Linked DNA regions of Danio rerio. The protein of the gene in region 1 interacts with the protein of each later gene in a pairwise test. Links are inferred from orthologs where the notes say so. Each region holds a gene or a part of one and is shown in the gene's direction. Other genes may lie near its edges.

Region 1 (7,589 bases):
TTCCACATGAATTGCATGGACCGCTCTCCCGCAGCAGGTGTGACTTCAATTGCTTAAGACTGAAATCTGTGTCAATCCGACCATAGGCACAGGACACATCCCCTCTCACCACCACTCTCCTCTCTACCCCATTCCCATACTCGCTCCAAGCCAATCAGTAGGAGGGCACACTCTGTTAGCAAGACAAACGGAGACCAGGAGGGAGAGGAAAAGAGCCAAAAAAGGGGAAAGAAAAATCCGGAAAGAGTGGTTCAAGATTTTCAGACACCATGAAGTCAAACCAGGAGCGGAGCAATGAATGCCTGCCCCCAAAGAAGCGTGAAATCCCAGCAAGCACTCTGCCCTCAGAGGAGAAGCCCATGGTGATGGCGCCTGCCAATGAGAGCCAGCGTGGAGGGAACCTGGCTTGGCTTGCCAGTCTGGCCAGTGGGCATGACAAAGGCCGGCTGCACACCAGCACGTCTGCAGAATCAGATGGGCCTCAATATAAACCATTGTCAGCCACGGCTGAGAGCACACCTTCCTCGTCCACACACTCAACCAGAGCTCTATCTGCAGTGACCACCATACCTGCAGTGTACACATCACCTCTCTCCCATTCTCCTAGCGCAATCCAGTACACACCCCTCCCTCACAATATACACTTCATCAACCCTCCTTACTCTGCACCATACGCTGGCTACATCTCTCCACTAGCTCCCCCTTTAGCTGCCACCACTACCACACAACGTGAGATTTATGCCAGCTCCTCCAGTTCTCCAGCATCCAAAATTGATCAGCACCACCAATTGGGCCGTCCTCAAGGCCTGGTCACAACTGACAACACCTCTTCACCTCACTCCACTCAATATGTTCAAATTGCTGGTTCTCCACTAAGCATATCCCCTCGAACTGTTTCGTCACCGCATACACACTTGCCCCTACATTTACATCCTCACCACACACTTCCCCTTAGTGGCCCTTCACAGGTCTTAGTCCCATACACAGAAAGTCTTTTACCCAAGAGGGAGGAGATGAGGACCAGGGAGTTGCTGAATGGAGAGCTGGAGAAGGACAGACGTTTTGGTCCATCTTCTGAGTCCAGTGCAGGGAAGCAGGGCAGCACTGCCAAAGGGGGTTCCTCTGCCCAGCAGCACCAGATCCACCAGCAGCAGAGCCCACGTCACTTTGAAGCTCGACATGTTGTGCTACCTGCCGAGTACACGCAGGACAGCACAGCCATGAGGACCTCATTGGTGCTGGTACCTAATAATCATAGCTCCACTAGTGCTGATTCTGGAGGTGCATCAGACAAGCTGCCTCCCTCGACATCCCACCATGAAAAAGGAGGGATTTGTGCTGGCAAACCTGTCTCCCGCAGTTCCTCCTTATCTTCCTCCCTTTCATTTGCTCTTCCCCCTCCACCTGTGGACAATCTTAAGGGAGCAGTTCCAGCGCAGTCTCCTCATGCAGTCATTCAGACCACACTTAACAGCACAGAGTCACTCTCTCTAAGCCTCCCCTCCACTAATTTCTACTCCACCCAGCAGCCTATCATTGGTTACTTTGCCGGCACAGGGCACCAGCAGCCTCTCAGCTACCACACCACCTTACCCCAGCACTTGGTCATCCCTGGAACTCAGCCGGTCATCATCCCAGTAAGTGGAACTGAAGCTACCGCTACATCAACTGCTGCACTGCCCCATGCTTTCGTCACCTCAACAGCCCCCAAAGTGGAAACTTTTGAATCTCCGGCTCCATACCCCCACCCTGCCACAGCTATGGTTCAAGCCCAGTTGCATTTGCCTGTGGTTCCAGCACCTGCTGGCCTGCTGACAACTCCACCCCCACCCTCAGCTCCTTCAATGCCACCCTACTTCACCAAGGGCTCCATCATCCAATTGGCAGATGGGGAACTGAAGCGGGTGGAAGACCTGAAAACAGAGGATTTCATTCAGAGTGCTGAGATTAGCAACGAGCTGAAGATTGATTCCAGCACTGTAGAGCGCATCGACAGCAGTCATACAGCTAACTTTGCTATAATACAGTTTGCTGTAGGAGCGCAACGCTCACAGGTGGGTTCATAAGTTTTCTATTTAACATTGCTGCTTGTAGACACATCTGAGTATCTGTTTTTCTTATGCACAAAGATAAGCGGGGAAATAAACTTGAGATTGATGACTATGTGATATTAATCAAACACTGTGTACCATGTCTGCACGTGGTAGTAAAGGGTTTATTATTAAAAAAAAAATCTAATGGAGTTGACCTTTGCCTAAGTTTTAGGTGTGTGTACAGCAATTATATTGTCCTCCATATATTATATATTGCCAATCTTTATGAACCATAACTTCCGTTTGTTTCTTGCCATCTCTGAAATTAGCATTTTTAACGAGTTTTTTTAATGTTTATATGAACATTCCATAACTGTTTGTTATTAAAGGTGCAGTAGGTGATTGTCTTCAGAAACACTTTTTGTTGTACTGGTTGAAAGTCTCTTTACAGTCCAATAGTAATGATTACAGTAAATAATCTAAATGTGTTTATATGTATTTTTATATTCTGGTTAAGGCATAAAACTAAAAAATGTTCATCCAATTAAATAGAGTCAGACCGACATCTCCCATAATTCCGATAAGCAGGTCAGACTGTCTGTCAGCAAATGTAGATTCGGACTTCTGCGCATCTGTTCACGCAGATCCGCCATTAGGACGTGCCCGTCTGCATAAGCGGCCGCGCGGTCACGAGACGGACCGGTAGAAATCAAATGCTTAATTGAAACTTTTAAAAACCTGAATCAATATTGGAGTTACTTTAGCAGGCTGGTGGAAGGACGACATCATGGCTGAAGTATTACTGTTAGACATGTAATGTTCTGTTTTAAAACTATTTTAGTCAGGCTAAGCTTATGTTAGATTGTGTTCTGCTATGAATGACTTATATGCACAGACGTGTTGTTCAGACCCTGAAATCTCCCGGTGAAAGATTGATGTGATTATTTTCAGTTTCATAAGGTCCTTTTACAGCATCGATGATGTAGATCAGGGGTCACCAATCTCGGTCCTGGAGGGCCGGTGTCCCTGCAGGGTTTTGCTCCAACTTGCCTCAACGCACCAGCCTGGATGTTTCAAGTATACCAAGTAAGACCTTGATTAGCTTGTTCAGGTGTGTTTGATTAGGATTGGAACAAAAATCTGCAGGACACCGGCCCTCCAGGAACAAGTTTGGTGACCACTGATGTAGATTTATGTTTAGTTTAACAAGAAAACATCAGTAAATAGCGCTATTTTGCCTAGCCTACTTTATTGAGCTGAAGTTGCTTTTATATTCACATTGGGTCATTTTTGAACAATGACAGCCTTCCTATACTGTTTACCATGCTACTCTGAATAATCTGTCTGAAATAGCATGTAAGTGTGGCTAAGTAATAAATGTAATTCCCGCACAGCACTGGCACTGACTAACTGGCGAATTACATGAACTAGTGGGTTGTCTGTCTGCTGTTGTAACGCGGTGCGCGCGCTCGCGATTTCAGGGGGTGTAGCTTTGAATCACAGTCCCTCCCCGCCGTCCCAATATAATATGCTAAGGGGTTATCGTTTTGGCAGATCACCTACTGCACCTTTAATTATATACAGTGCATATTTGAAGTATATCATTTACATTAGAATCCAAATTGCAGTTATTTGAATCATGCCATTTTATGAGGTGTGATTACAGTTGAAATATCTTGGCAAATTGGCCAAATATTATGACGGTTTCATAATATGCAGATGGATTCCAAAGATGGGTAATTTAATTTCATGTTTAACAATTGTCAGTTAAAAATCTTTACAGCATTTGCAATTGCCCAGGGATCTTTTTTTTTTTACTTTACATCTTCCGTGCAACTTCATCATCTCGCTTTGAATAAGCATATGGTAGTCATTAAGTTTATATTTTTATATGCTGTGAGAGTGTGAATGTCCCCTTATATGAACTCCACCTGCACTCAATCAGTGTAAGTAGATGTGGGGCAAATTGGCAGCTGAAATCATCTCCCTGTTCCATAATCCCTCCCCTGGCTGTCCCCATGGCATCTTTGTTTAGTTTGTGTGGGATTCACTGGCAGAATTGAGTCATTCCTTATTTCTGCTTCCTTCTGTTGTACTGTGAGTGGGCTGTATGAAAAATCTGCTTCATTTGTCTGGGAGTTGAGATGGGGCCACCCACTCGAAAGCAGTTCTAAAGTCTGTCATTTCGAGAGGCACTGATTAACAGATGCTTTTTAGCAAAGACATTCATTCATATCATCAGGCATTTGTGCACGACTTCTACTTTCGGAAGTCATTGTCCTCTCTTTTTGACTCCCTTTTTCTTTTGCAGGTCAGTGTGGAGGTACTAGTAGAGTATCCTTTCTTTGTGTTCGGCCAGGGCTGGTCATCTTGTTGTCCGGATCGGACTACTCAGCTGCTCGAGCTGCCATGCACCAAGCTTTCAGTGGGTGACGTCTGCATCTCCCTCACCCTGAAGAACCTGAGGAACGGTTCCATCAAGAAGAGCCAGGGGCAAGTCTTGGATGCACCTGCACTCGGTCCACCTCTTAAATCACCAAAAGCACTCTCAAGTGGCGCACGAGGGGGTGTTCGGCACACAGAACAGGAAAATGGACTCGGGCAGTGTGCAGATCAAGGAAGTAGAGGCGGTCAAGGCAATAGAGAAAACGGAGAACTGAGGTTTGGTGAAAGGGACAACTGCAAAGCTCCAACACTCACAGAATCAGAGACCAGCAGTAAACCCACAGGTCGAAAAAGAAGGTGGTCTGCCCCTGAGGGTCGTAAAGTAGAAAATCCAGAAGGAGAGCCCCCTTTAACGTTCCCTAAGCCTTCTTTCATCCCTCAGGAGGTTAAAATCAGTATCGAAGGCAGATCAAATATTGGAAAGTGAACATGCGTCGGACTGTCTGCTTTTAAAATTGCAAAATTTGCCCTCAGAATGTTTTTAATTGTTCTGTTGTCCAGATTTCTTTTCCTAAAGGCAAAATTTACTCAGTATCTATGTTATCACATCTAACATTGTAATTGAGGAATTCAATTTTACACAGGCAATTGGTGCAATTCAATTGATTGGTCAAATTCAAGGTGGATGTAGAGCAAGGTGAGAAGGTTGTGAGACGGCATGTTATCCTGAAGGCTCCGGCATATAAAATTACTCACAGCTGACAAGACGTCTCTCTAGTCTCTCACCTACAAAATTCTTTTGGCTTACAAACGACACTTAGTGGCAATTAAAACATTCGCTTGCTGAACCTAAAAATGTTAGTAAGGGAAGATGAACAAGTGGTGTGAATGTGGTGGCAGAACGGAAATCACTCCTCCACTGGTTGCAGGAGTTTACATGATGTCAGCCATCTTGTTTAACTGTGACTACAAGAGACTATCCAAATCGATCCTAACAATATAGAGCAGTATGGTCAGCACAGTTAGACTAGCAAAGATTCTGTTAACGTTTATTGAAGTGCAAAAAGAAGTTTCCAAATACTATGGTACAGGCCAAGAGAGATGATGTCATTGAGCGGTGCCAGTTTGCTCCTCAGAAAAGACGAAACTATCACTTTAAACAGGGAAGATGGACGAATCTATTTTTATATATCCAACTGTCTAACCTTTTATTTGACTATTTTTGTAGTTTTGCATGTCTTACTTTTCAAACCCTCCTATCATACCTGATGGGTAGATTTTTCTTATGTTTCCCTCCCTTTTTTTGTGATGAATGTGTCAACCTTGCAATCAGGGGTCATTTTTTTGTATGTAGACACAGAATGGGTTCTTGTCTATGAATATATATGCATGGATGTATCTTGATGCATACAAACACAATGGGTGAGGAAATCGACCAGTCTTTTGTTTTAGTGCAGTCTCGGCTGTTTTGATTTCGTTTAAAGAAGAGAACGTTGATTATTCTGAAAGAAAGAGTTGGAAAGTTGGCTGCGAAGGATGAGGTGTGAGTGCTGAAGCACTTAACTAATACGCCTGTCACTGATAGTAGTTTCAATCAACCGAATGAAATAATGATTTATTATTGTTATTATTAATGCTACAACTATTTTCTGTTGATTTTTTTCAATGTAAACACAGTACTGTATGCTGTATCATCAATTGGATGTTGAGTGACTCTGGAAAGACGATAGGGTCACAGTGAAGGAATGAATGTAAAAGGTGATCAAAGAAAGAGAGATTTTGTCCTCATGAGGATTGCTTTAAAGGAAGCACTTTTTTAAAGATTGGCTAAGCCATCTCAAGCAAGTTGAGTAAAGATGACGAAACAACTGCCATTTAAGTCATTCAAAGCGAGTCGAATGAAAGTATGAATGCGAATAAGGATGGAATGGAAATACGTACAGAGACTGTTTATATATTTACGAGAGATACGAGAGACAAAGTGTAAGTGAGAAACTCTGGCTACGGTAATCTTTGGAGGATCGAAGAGTGTCATATACTTGTTTGTTAGCAATGTGTGTGATCGTGCCCGCATGCGAGTTTGTGTGCAGCCGCACACATGCACATGTACACACGGTTACGGTGATTTTCAGTCATGTTGAAATAGACATGTCATGTATTTTTTGTACATTAACGTGTATAGAACTGCATATGCTATATCTATCTTACTGTATGAGAGCGCAAGACTACATGAGCACGTTTTTAGTCCCGTCCCCCAAGACACTGACTCATCGAACGTATGTGAAAGCAATCATGTAGTCATTTCAGTTTTGTGTGAGTGCGTGTGTGTTTGGGTGCGTGCATGTGTGTGTACATACCACACATATTATAAATAGATATTTAAGTTCTACTTAAAAGAATATTGCAATTTGCACATCTGGAGAGATAGTAACATGATTTATTTTGTTTTCTGCCAGCACAGACAGGGCCGAAAACCAGATTTTTACTGAAATGTAGCAGTTTCTTGGCAAGTTTGTTTAGTTCGCGGGTCTGTTAGGTTCATTTTCATTAGGAAAACCAGGAAGCTCCTTTTCTGGAGGGTTTGAATCAGCAGGATTTTTGCACGGTGCTGTGTTGAAGAGTTCGCTCATAGCCTGTAGTCTGCATACTTGTCAAGTCGTTCGAGTGGCCACGCTCAAGTTAACTTGGGTAGGTGAAAATCTGGCAGGAAGATGGGTTGTAGTAGAGAATAAAAAGATGAATGAATGGATTTAATGAGTGGTGGAGGGTGGGTGAGTGAGTGCACCCCATATACAATTTGAAAATGCTTTATTTTTTATAATAAAACAGGGTTTCTCAGATCAACACCACAACCATGCATTTTTTTCCCTTTTTTTCCATTGGAAATGTCTCCACTTCTGTCTTTTGACCTGTGTGTGTGAGTTTTACTTGGATTATATGTGTGAATGTATCCACTTCAACCAATCAAACTTGATATTTTCATTGTGTTCGACGTTTATTTTGGGCCAAACGCTAGAAATATTGTTTGTCCGTTGAACCACCCCAAGAACAGAACTGTCGATGGCGGTCTCGCATTTTTGTCTGGTTTTTCCAATCTTTTCCCTTTGTCCTTCTCTTCATGTAATGATCAGTGTTTTCAATGTCGCTCATTGCTTCAATCATTTAACAGTC
Region 2 (8,261 bases), on another chromosome or scaffold:
CCTAATGTTAATTCATTCATTCATTTTCCATTCAGTCTCTTATTTATCAGGGGTCACAGGGGTCAGCGGATGACCTTCTAGCAGCAACCCAGTACTGGAAATAACTCATTCACACACGGCCAAGTTAATTCATCCAACTCACCAATACCACATGTCTTTAGACTGTGGTGGAAACCGAAGCACCCAGAGGAAACCCATTTTAACACAGGGAGAACATGCAAACTCCACAAAGAAAGGCCAACTTACCCAGAACCCAGGACTCGAAGTAACCTTCTTGCTGTGAGCAGTCAACAGCCTACACTGAAATCCTAACAAGTTGTTTTGACAAAGTAAACCATAAAAAAATAGTAGTGATAAAGTTTTCTTGTCATTTCTGGCACCCGGCATGCTTTAGTCTTCCTGTGACCTTGACGTCAAAGGTTGTTTACGAGTTTTTCCTTGGATTTGGAGTCCAATCTTTTCCTTCATTGTTCCTGGATTGCCTTGCAGCTTACAAACATGACCTTGAGAGCTGCAGGCACACACAACAGTTTGTGTTTCTGGTTTGTCACCATTTATTCTGCAAAATCTTGTAGAATGACTATATATATATATATATATATATATATATATATATATATATATATATATATATATATATATATATATATATATATATATATATATATATATATATATATATATAATTTTTTTTTTCAAGCAAAATTGTGATTAACCAATGACTAAAAATTCACCTAATGCAAAAATGTGAATCTACTCATAATTATTTTTAATAAAAGCTAGAAATTAAATCAAACTAGAATAAATCAGGTCTATGCTCTTTCTTGAACTTCTCATATACTGCTTAATGCTTTCATGTGGTTCATGCCAGTTCTTTTGACACTACCATTTGAAAGTCAAAGCAGAATTCGAATCTCGTCAAGCCAGATAAACACTTTTCCAGTCGTCTACTGTCTAATTTAGTGTATCTTGGTGAATTGTAGCCTCGGTTTCTTTTGTTATCTGACAGGAGTGTCTCCTGTGTAGTTTTCAGCTTCAAGGTTTGACATGTTGTGTTCAGAGATGCTCTCCTGCAGAACTCAATTGTAACAAGTGCTTATTTTCATTCGCCTCTTCCCTCTGGCATCAACAATGCATTTTCACCCATGAGAAATGTCACTCCCTTGGTATTTTGTGAGTGAAAAAAAATCCCTGAAACTTTGCAGTTTCTGAAATATGCTCAGGCAATCCACACAAAGCCAGGGTTGCATTGTGAAGCAAGTCTTTAAAGAACAAAAAGAAAGGCAATATCTCAAATGTGTTAAATAAGGTGCTTTTTATTAGAGTGGCTGATTATAACATACAGTAAACAAGGTTAGCATAATGGAGACAGCTGATTGGTTATATTGTAATATTCGCTATATCTGAGATTATTTAGCAAATGTTACAACTGTAAAACCTTTTTTTTGTTAACCTACTTTTATTTAATATTAGCTTTTCCATTACTTGTTTCTCATGTGATACTTCAAAATGTGCATTAAAAATGGTAATGGAAACCCAAAGGAATTTAAAAGAAACCCTGGGTAGTTGGCCTAATATAATGTAAATGGTGTTTATCATTTAAAAACACACTTATCTTGGACTTACTGTGTGGGGGTCGGGCGACATGTTGGCTCAGTGGTTAGCACTGTCGCCTCACAGCAAGAAGTTCACTGGTGTGTGTGTGTGTGTGTGTGTGTGTGTGTGTGTGTGTGTGTGTGTGTGTGTGTGTGTGTGTGTGTGTGTGTGTGTGTGTGTGTGTGTGTGTGTGTGTGCATGCGTGTGTGTGCGTGTGTGAGTGAATGAGTGTGTATGGATGTTTCCCAGTACTAGGTTGAAGCTGAAAGGGCATCCGTTGCATAAAACATGTGCCGGAATAGTTGGTGGTTCATTCCGCTGTGGCAACCCCTGATAAATGAATGGACTAAGCCACTCATTATTTTATGTGCAAGACAGCAGTCGCTAGTCAGAAACCACATGTCTGAAAGTTGCAACCAAAAAACACACAATGTGGCAGATACTAATATTTGAATTGTTCTTATGTTTGTAATATTGAGTTATTTTGATGTAAAAATATCAACAGGCAGTGTCAATATAACTCAGCGTTTCCATCTGAAACTTAAAATTAAGGCACCACCAGTAGTCCAAAATGCATGTTGTTTTTTTAAATAACAAAGATTTTTCAAATGTTTCCAAAGACATAATGTAAATAATGTCTCTCACTGAAATTACATTAAGTGCCCACACTTTTTCCTATGAAGGGCTTGATTGAGGGTGGTGGGCCGAATGTAAACATACCAAACTCTATTTCATTAAAGTTGCATTGGTGGTTTCCTAATTTAATATTTAAAAATAACTTTAACATTGCTTCATATTATCTTATGCAGATTTTATTATATAATGAACTTCATTCATTAATTCATTTTCTTGTCGGCTTAGTCCCTTTATTATTCCAGGGTCGCCACAGCGGAATGAACCGCCAACTTATCCAGCAAGTTTTTTATGCCAGCCGCAACCCATCTCTGGGAAACATCCACACACACACATTCACACACGCACTCATACACTACGGACAATTTAGCCTACCCATTTTACTGCATGTCTTTGAACTGTGGGGGAAACCCACACAAAGGCAGGGAAAACATGCAAACTCCACACAGGAACGCCAACTGAGCCGAGGTTCGAACCAGCGACCTTCTTGCTGTGAGGCGACAGCACTACCTACTGCGCCACTGCCTCACCTGTATAATGAACTTTTTATAGTAAAACAAAATTCATTTAAAACAGAATGGAGTTACACTAGTAAAGCTGCACCCTCTGCCTTGACTTGTTTATTTTCATTTACCTTTTTTTTGTAGATCAGCAATAAAATAATCAAACAAACCAAGGTTGCGTTAAATTAGAAATTAAGATCTCTGTTAAAGGCAATTGTCCCAACCCTCCCTATCAGTCTCTCTTCTCAGATGGGATGGTGGGCCAAATCAAAGATTATCAAGGGCCAAGTTTGGCCCACATGCCCTAGATTGGATACCTCTGGCCTAAATGATATGTTATTACAACAACTAGGCCTATAGCAAAACAAGTTGCCCAATAGCCTGTGGTTAGTTATATATTAGGCTACATGATAATACATCACAATTTACTGTTGTAAAACTAAAATATACTACAGTTGCCTACACAGTTTATTATAGATAATGCAGTAGCATTTATTAGCATGTGTTGTTAACTTAATACTTTATAGTATAGGCCTACAGTATAATAAACTTTACTATCATTTGTTTCAAAAACACTATCGTAGCCAATTTACTATGAATTACTCCATTATCTTTTCATGTGCGTTGTCTTGGCCATGTTTTCATCATGTCTAAATGTTTTGGATTGCTGCCATGTGGTTAGCTGATCCGATTTTTGGCATTAACATGCAGTTGTGTTGCTATTAAATTGTCCATTGAAAAAATGGATATGTACCAAGCAAACCTCGAAGAACTTTAACCTGACCCACCCACTAAAACTTTACATGCTGTGTTTAATTATTTATTTGATTATAATTTTTTACACATTATTTTGTCAGCCACCTACATCCGCTAGGGGGCGGCAGCGCGAATCCCACTGACGCGCTCTTCTTCTCTGTTTATCATCATCTTTTACTTCCTCTTCGAAATCATGGCGGTGCACGGCCCGGTCGTGAAAATCCACCCGGTGGTTTTGGCTTCGATTGTGGACTCATACGAGCGCAGGAATGAAGGAGCGAGTCGCGTGATCGGGACATTATTAGGTGGGTCATTGAATTCTTGTGTGAGATTTATGAGACAGTTGCGATTATTACAAACAACATGAGCGTCGCTTGGTCTTGTGGAGCATGTGTTGTAGTCGAGCTGAATGGCTGGGGTGGATGAGAAACTGTACAGATCAGCAGCATCACTTACCTGGTGGTTGTGTTTGTGTGTCAAACAGGAACAGCAGATAAACATTCAGTCGATGTCACCAACTGCTTCTCTGTTCCTCACAACGAGTCTGAAGATGAGGTGAGAAAAAAAGCATCATCTAATACATCCTTTACATTAGTGTGTGCCAGACATTTATGTAGCTTTTTAGGCATAACGAAAAACAAAACAATTTCACATCACAGGTATCTCACTGTAACTTTGTAATGGTCTAAAGGGTTCGAGTGAGACATCTGTGGTATTTCATGTTCTGTTGTTATGCATCTTTAGCTAATTGATTGGTTGAAATACACTTACAAACCATCAGCCAAAATTGAAGTGAGGTAAAGTTGATTTTATATTTGCACATTCAGACTTTCACCTTCTTAATGTAATTTCAGAAAGGTATTCTTTGTCAAATCCTAAACGGTCAACTCAAATTAACAGCCAGTGACTATTAAAGTACAACATTGTTTACAGTCAGTTAAATGGTGCTAATGTGGATTTAAAGTAGGCATGGGCCGGTATACAATTCTGACGTTAATATTCTTTAATATAAATATCACATTTTCACAGTATTACATAGTGATTACGGCTCTGCTAAATGGTAGCGCTCCAGTTTTTTTTTTTTTTTTTACTGTTTACAAACTGGTAATTCATCTATAGCAGATAATTTTGGCGGTTTTAAAACATCAGTTTTTTTTTTAAATCACTGTGTACCTTGAAAACGGTTATCGTCCCATGCCTATTTTGAAGTCATGCATTTCAGACCGATTATTCAATGTAGCCTGGTAAACAATGTAGGGACCTTTCATAGAGTTCATAAGCTTTTTTTTTTTTTTTTTAACTATAACAATTTGCTAATTTATCTGTATTAGCCTTTTCCCAGAGATGGGTTGCGGCTTGAAGGGCATCCTCTGCTTAAAAACTTGATGGATAAGTTGGCGGTTCATTCTGCTGTGGCGACCCCGGATTTATAAAGGGACTAAGCCGACAAGAAAATGAATGAATCTGTATTAGCCTCTTTAAAATTTGCTTTACTATTTTATTGAACACGAGTGTCTGAATGTTCAAATATAAAACCAACTTAATTCAAAAGTGTCATGTTACATGCTACTGTATTTTTGGACATGTACCATATGTTATTTATGCTTTACTAAGGAGCACCAGCATTTAATCATCATCATTGTGCAATTTATTTACCTTTTAAAATTATTTTTATTTTATTTTTTTTAAATAGGTGGCTGTTGACATGGAGTTCGCCAAGAACATGTATGAGCTTCATAAGAAGGTTTCGCCGAGTGAAGTCATTGTTGGATGGTATGTGGCCGCATTTCCAAATTAATATAATTCTTTTCTTTGCTAAAGTTTTGTTAAGTTATTGTTGTAAGCACATTTTTTGTTATATTTTTAGAAGGTTTAGAAACTTTTGTGAACATTTGTTATTTTTCATTTAATGCATTTTGCTTTGCGCTATGGTAAAATAACTAAAATAAGAAAATTAAATAAAATGATATTTTTTTCTCCTACAGTCCCATGATTTATTTTTGCAGCCATTTTAAATGTATATCTCATGTTTACAAGTTTATATTTCACAATTCAGATATTCATTTCATTTTCATTTGTTGTTCTTACAGTTCAGTTTATATTGCTACTCTTTTTTTTAAGTATATTTGCCTTTTATTCCATTGTAAAAGCAAGCTTCCATTAGGCCTGTCACGATATATCTAGTTTTTGTTGTACGGTATATTGCACCAAAATACATTGCGATAAATGATTTTATTGTGATTTTAATACCATTCTATGCCACTCATTATATAATACCAGAATGACAATATAATATCACCACAATGCAAGTACACTCATACAAAGAACACATAATATTTTATTGTTAAGACTATTTAATTTAGTTATCCTATGGCTTTGGAATGAGATTGTAAAAACGCATATCATAAATAATAATAAATGTTAACAAAAAGGTGCAAGGCAAAAAGTAACAGAAGCTGTGATATCTGCTAGCAGATCTATTTTTAGTTGTCAGACACCCACATGAAAATCTTCTATAGCAATTTATAGTAAAACCTGTAGAGCTTTTTAAACCATACTGACACCTCAATAGAGATCGAGATGTTGCAAAACCAGCTGAAATGTTGCTAGAATTCATTTTTATGTATGGGCGATATATATTGCATCACTAAAAATGTCTGAGGTCATGTCAATATAATATGACACGGCTTATCAATGCGATAAGTTCATATATTGATTACTGTGACAGGGTAGCTTCCATAATGTAGGTTATATCTATATATCAAAAAAGAATAATTATACAGGTAACAGAATTATTAGAACTTAAAATGGAAAATATTACAAAAATGACTATCTAAAATATTTCAAAATATAATAATAGAATCTGATTTCAGATAAACTTAAGGAATGTTGTTTCACTGAAGAAAGAGGCTGTGTTGTTTTTGCAGGTATGCCACAGGATTTGACATCACTGAGCACTCGGTTCTGATCCATGAGTATTACAGCAGAGAGGCTCCAAACCCTATTCACCTCACTGTGGACACGGCACTGCAGAGCAACAAAATGAACATCCGGGCCTACGTCAGGTAACACAACCACAACAAACAAATGCTGACTAGTGTACAATAATCGCTTATGAATTAAAATTTTATGTTTACATAATAATGTTGTGTACTATCTGTGCATATTTGTTATGGGTATAAATAAATGCATGTATCCACGTATATGCATATATAGAAAATGCTTGTTTATATTTATATTATCAAAGATTTTTTTATAGCAAATGATATAATAATTTATACAGTTTAAGTCAGAAACTAGGGGTGTCAAAATTAATCGTTTCTTCGGTGCACCTCGATGCAGACATGGACAATTTGGTATCGGTTCAGTAATAATCATAACTGGTTAATACTGACGTCATTTACCTCATATGCGCTCTGTCATGAGGGAGGCGATAGTGAGTATTTACAACGCTCTAACTACTTAAAACTCATAAACTGTGCACGATTTCACTGTGTGTTTGCTGGATCAGTCTTTCACTGACATATACAACTATTTCACTGAGATCGAGAGAATGAAAGTACTCCATTTCTCTCTCTCTCTCTCTCTCTCTCTCTCTCTCTCACACACACACACACACACACAGTGGCTAAAGAACCGAGCGCGTGTCTTCAGAGTTTTCTCCACCATGTCTATCATACATCAGCTGTGAGATCGCCCCTGCCGCTTATCAGTGTCACTCATCTGTGAAGAGCGCAGCACTTACGTTTTTTATCGCAACCGTGTTTGTTGAGGGTGTGACCAATCAAAGAGGTGTGAGAGAACTAGACAAGGATCAGAAATTGAGCTTGATATTTATATTTGTTTATATTATTTGCTTAATGCTCGTTTTGTTTAAAGTTACAGTTTATATATCTGACTGTTTGCATTAAATGACAAAATTGTATTACAAATAATATGTAAATATAAATAACTTCATACATTTTAATACAAGAACTGCTGCTGTGAAGAAAATATAAAACTCTGTATGAAAAGCACCGTCAATGCACCGTGATGCACCGAAATATCGAATTCAACCGAATTGATGGCATGATAATCAGAACCGAACTGTGAGACTAGTGTAGGTTCACAGCTCTATTCGAAACTGTAGGTCTTTTTTATTTCTGTTTAACGGAGAGAAGATTGTTTATTACATTTCTTAATATAATAGATTTAATAACTCATCTCTAATAACTTATTTCATTTTTGCCATGATTACAGTACAAAATATTATACTTATTCATCCTTCTGCACGCTGTTTCTGTTGTTCTGCAATAACACTTCCCAAACGCAAGTTGGCAGTGAGGTGTTAATGTTCCTCTGTGTCGAGTTTCTTCGCCTGTGTTTTGTGTTTTCTGAACGCTTCCTTAATTTACAAGTGGTTCAAACTCGCTCATTTTGAGGCAGGAACCGGCGGACATGCAACAACTTTATCCGTAAGGTAAACACAAAACTTTCCATCCAGAGGTCCTTCACGGGACTCCACACTTGTAAACAATTGCTCTATTGGGCTCGCGCGGCTTTCGGTCCCGCCCACACTCGCGGTACCAAGCCGACCAATCACAGAGCTTAACGCTACACATCGTTGCAATGTGTAGTTACATTTTTGGAGAGGTGCACGTTAGCCAGGGCCAGGGCTACGCCTCCACGCATAGGCTGCACCATAGTATACACGTGAGCTTGACACAGAAGTAATAATCAGCCTTTAGGCTCCATTTAGTCTTAGTTTTAAAATGGCATTTTAGAACGGAAACG

Evidence for each region.
Region 2: the proteins of atxn1a (region 1) and eif3f interact in binary tests that used the Homo sapiens proteins (3 or more experiments, as listed by UniProt). The link is inferred for Danio rerio from reciprocal best matches to the Homo sapiens genes ATXN1 and EIF3F.

Annotation. Positions count from the first base shown.
Region 1 is NC_133194.1:34,918,572-34,926,160, forward strand, and holds the end of atxn1a (ataxin-1a), read left to right. Parts: 5' UTR 1-269; coding exon 270-2,054; intron 2,055-4,344; coding exon 4,345-4,905; 3' UTR 4,906-7,270; downstream 7,271-7,589. UniProt on the Homo sapiens protein: Chromatin-binding factor that repress Notch signaling in the absence of Notch intracellular domain by acting as a CBF1 corepressor. Binds to the HEY promoter and might assist, along with NCOR2, RBPJ-mediated repression. Binds RNA in vitro.
Region 2 is NC_133176.1:11,699,523-11,707,783, forward strand, and holds the start of eif3f (eukaryotic translation initiation factor 3 subunit F), read left to right. Parts: upstream 1-3,654; 5' UTR 3,655-3,681; coding exon 3,682-3,793; intron 3,794-3,972; coding exon 3,973-4,043; intron 4,044-5,181; coding exon 5,182-5,261; intron 5,262-6,415; coding exon 6,416-6,553; intron 6,554-8,261. UniProt on the Homo sapiens protein: Component of the eukaryotic translation initiation factor 3 (eIF-3) complex, which is required for several steps in the initiation of protein synthesis.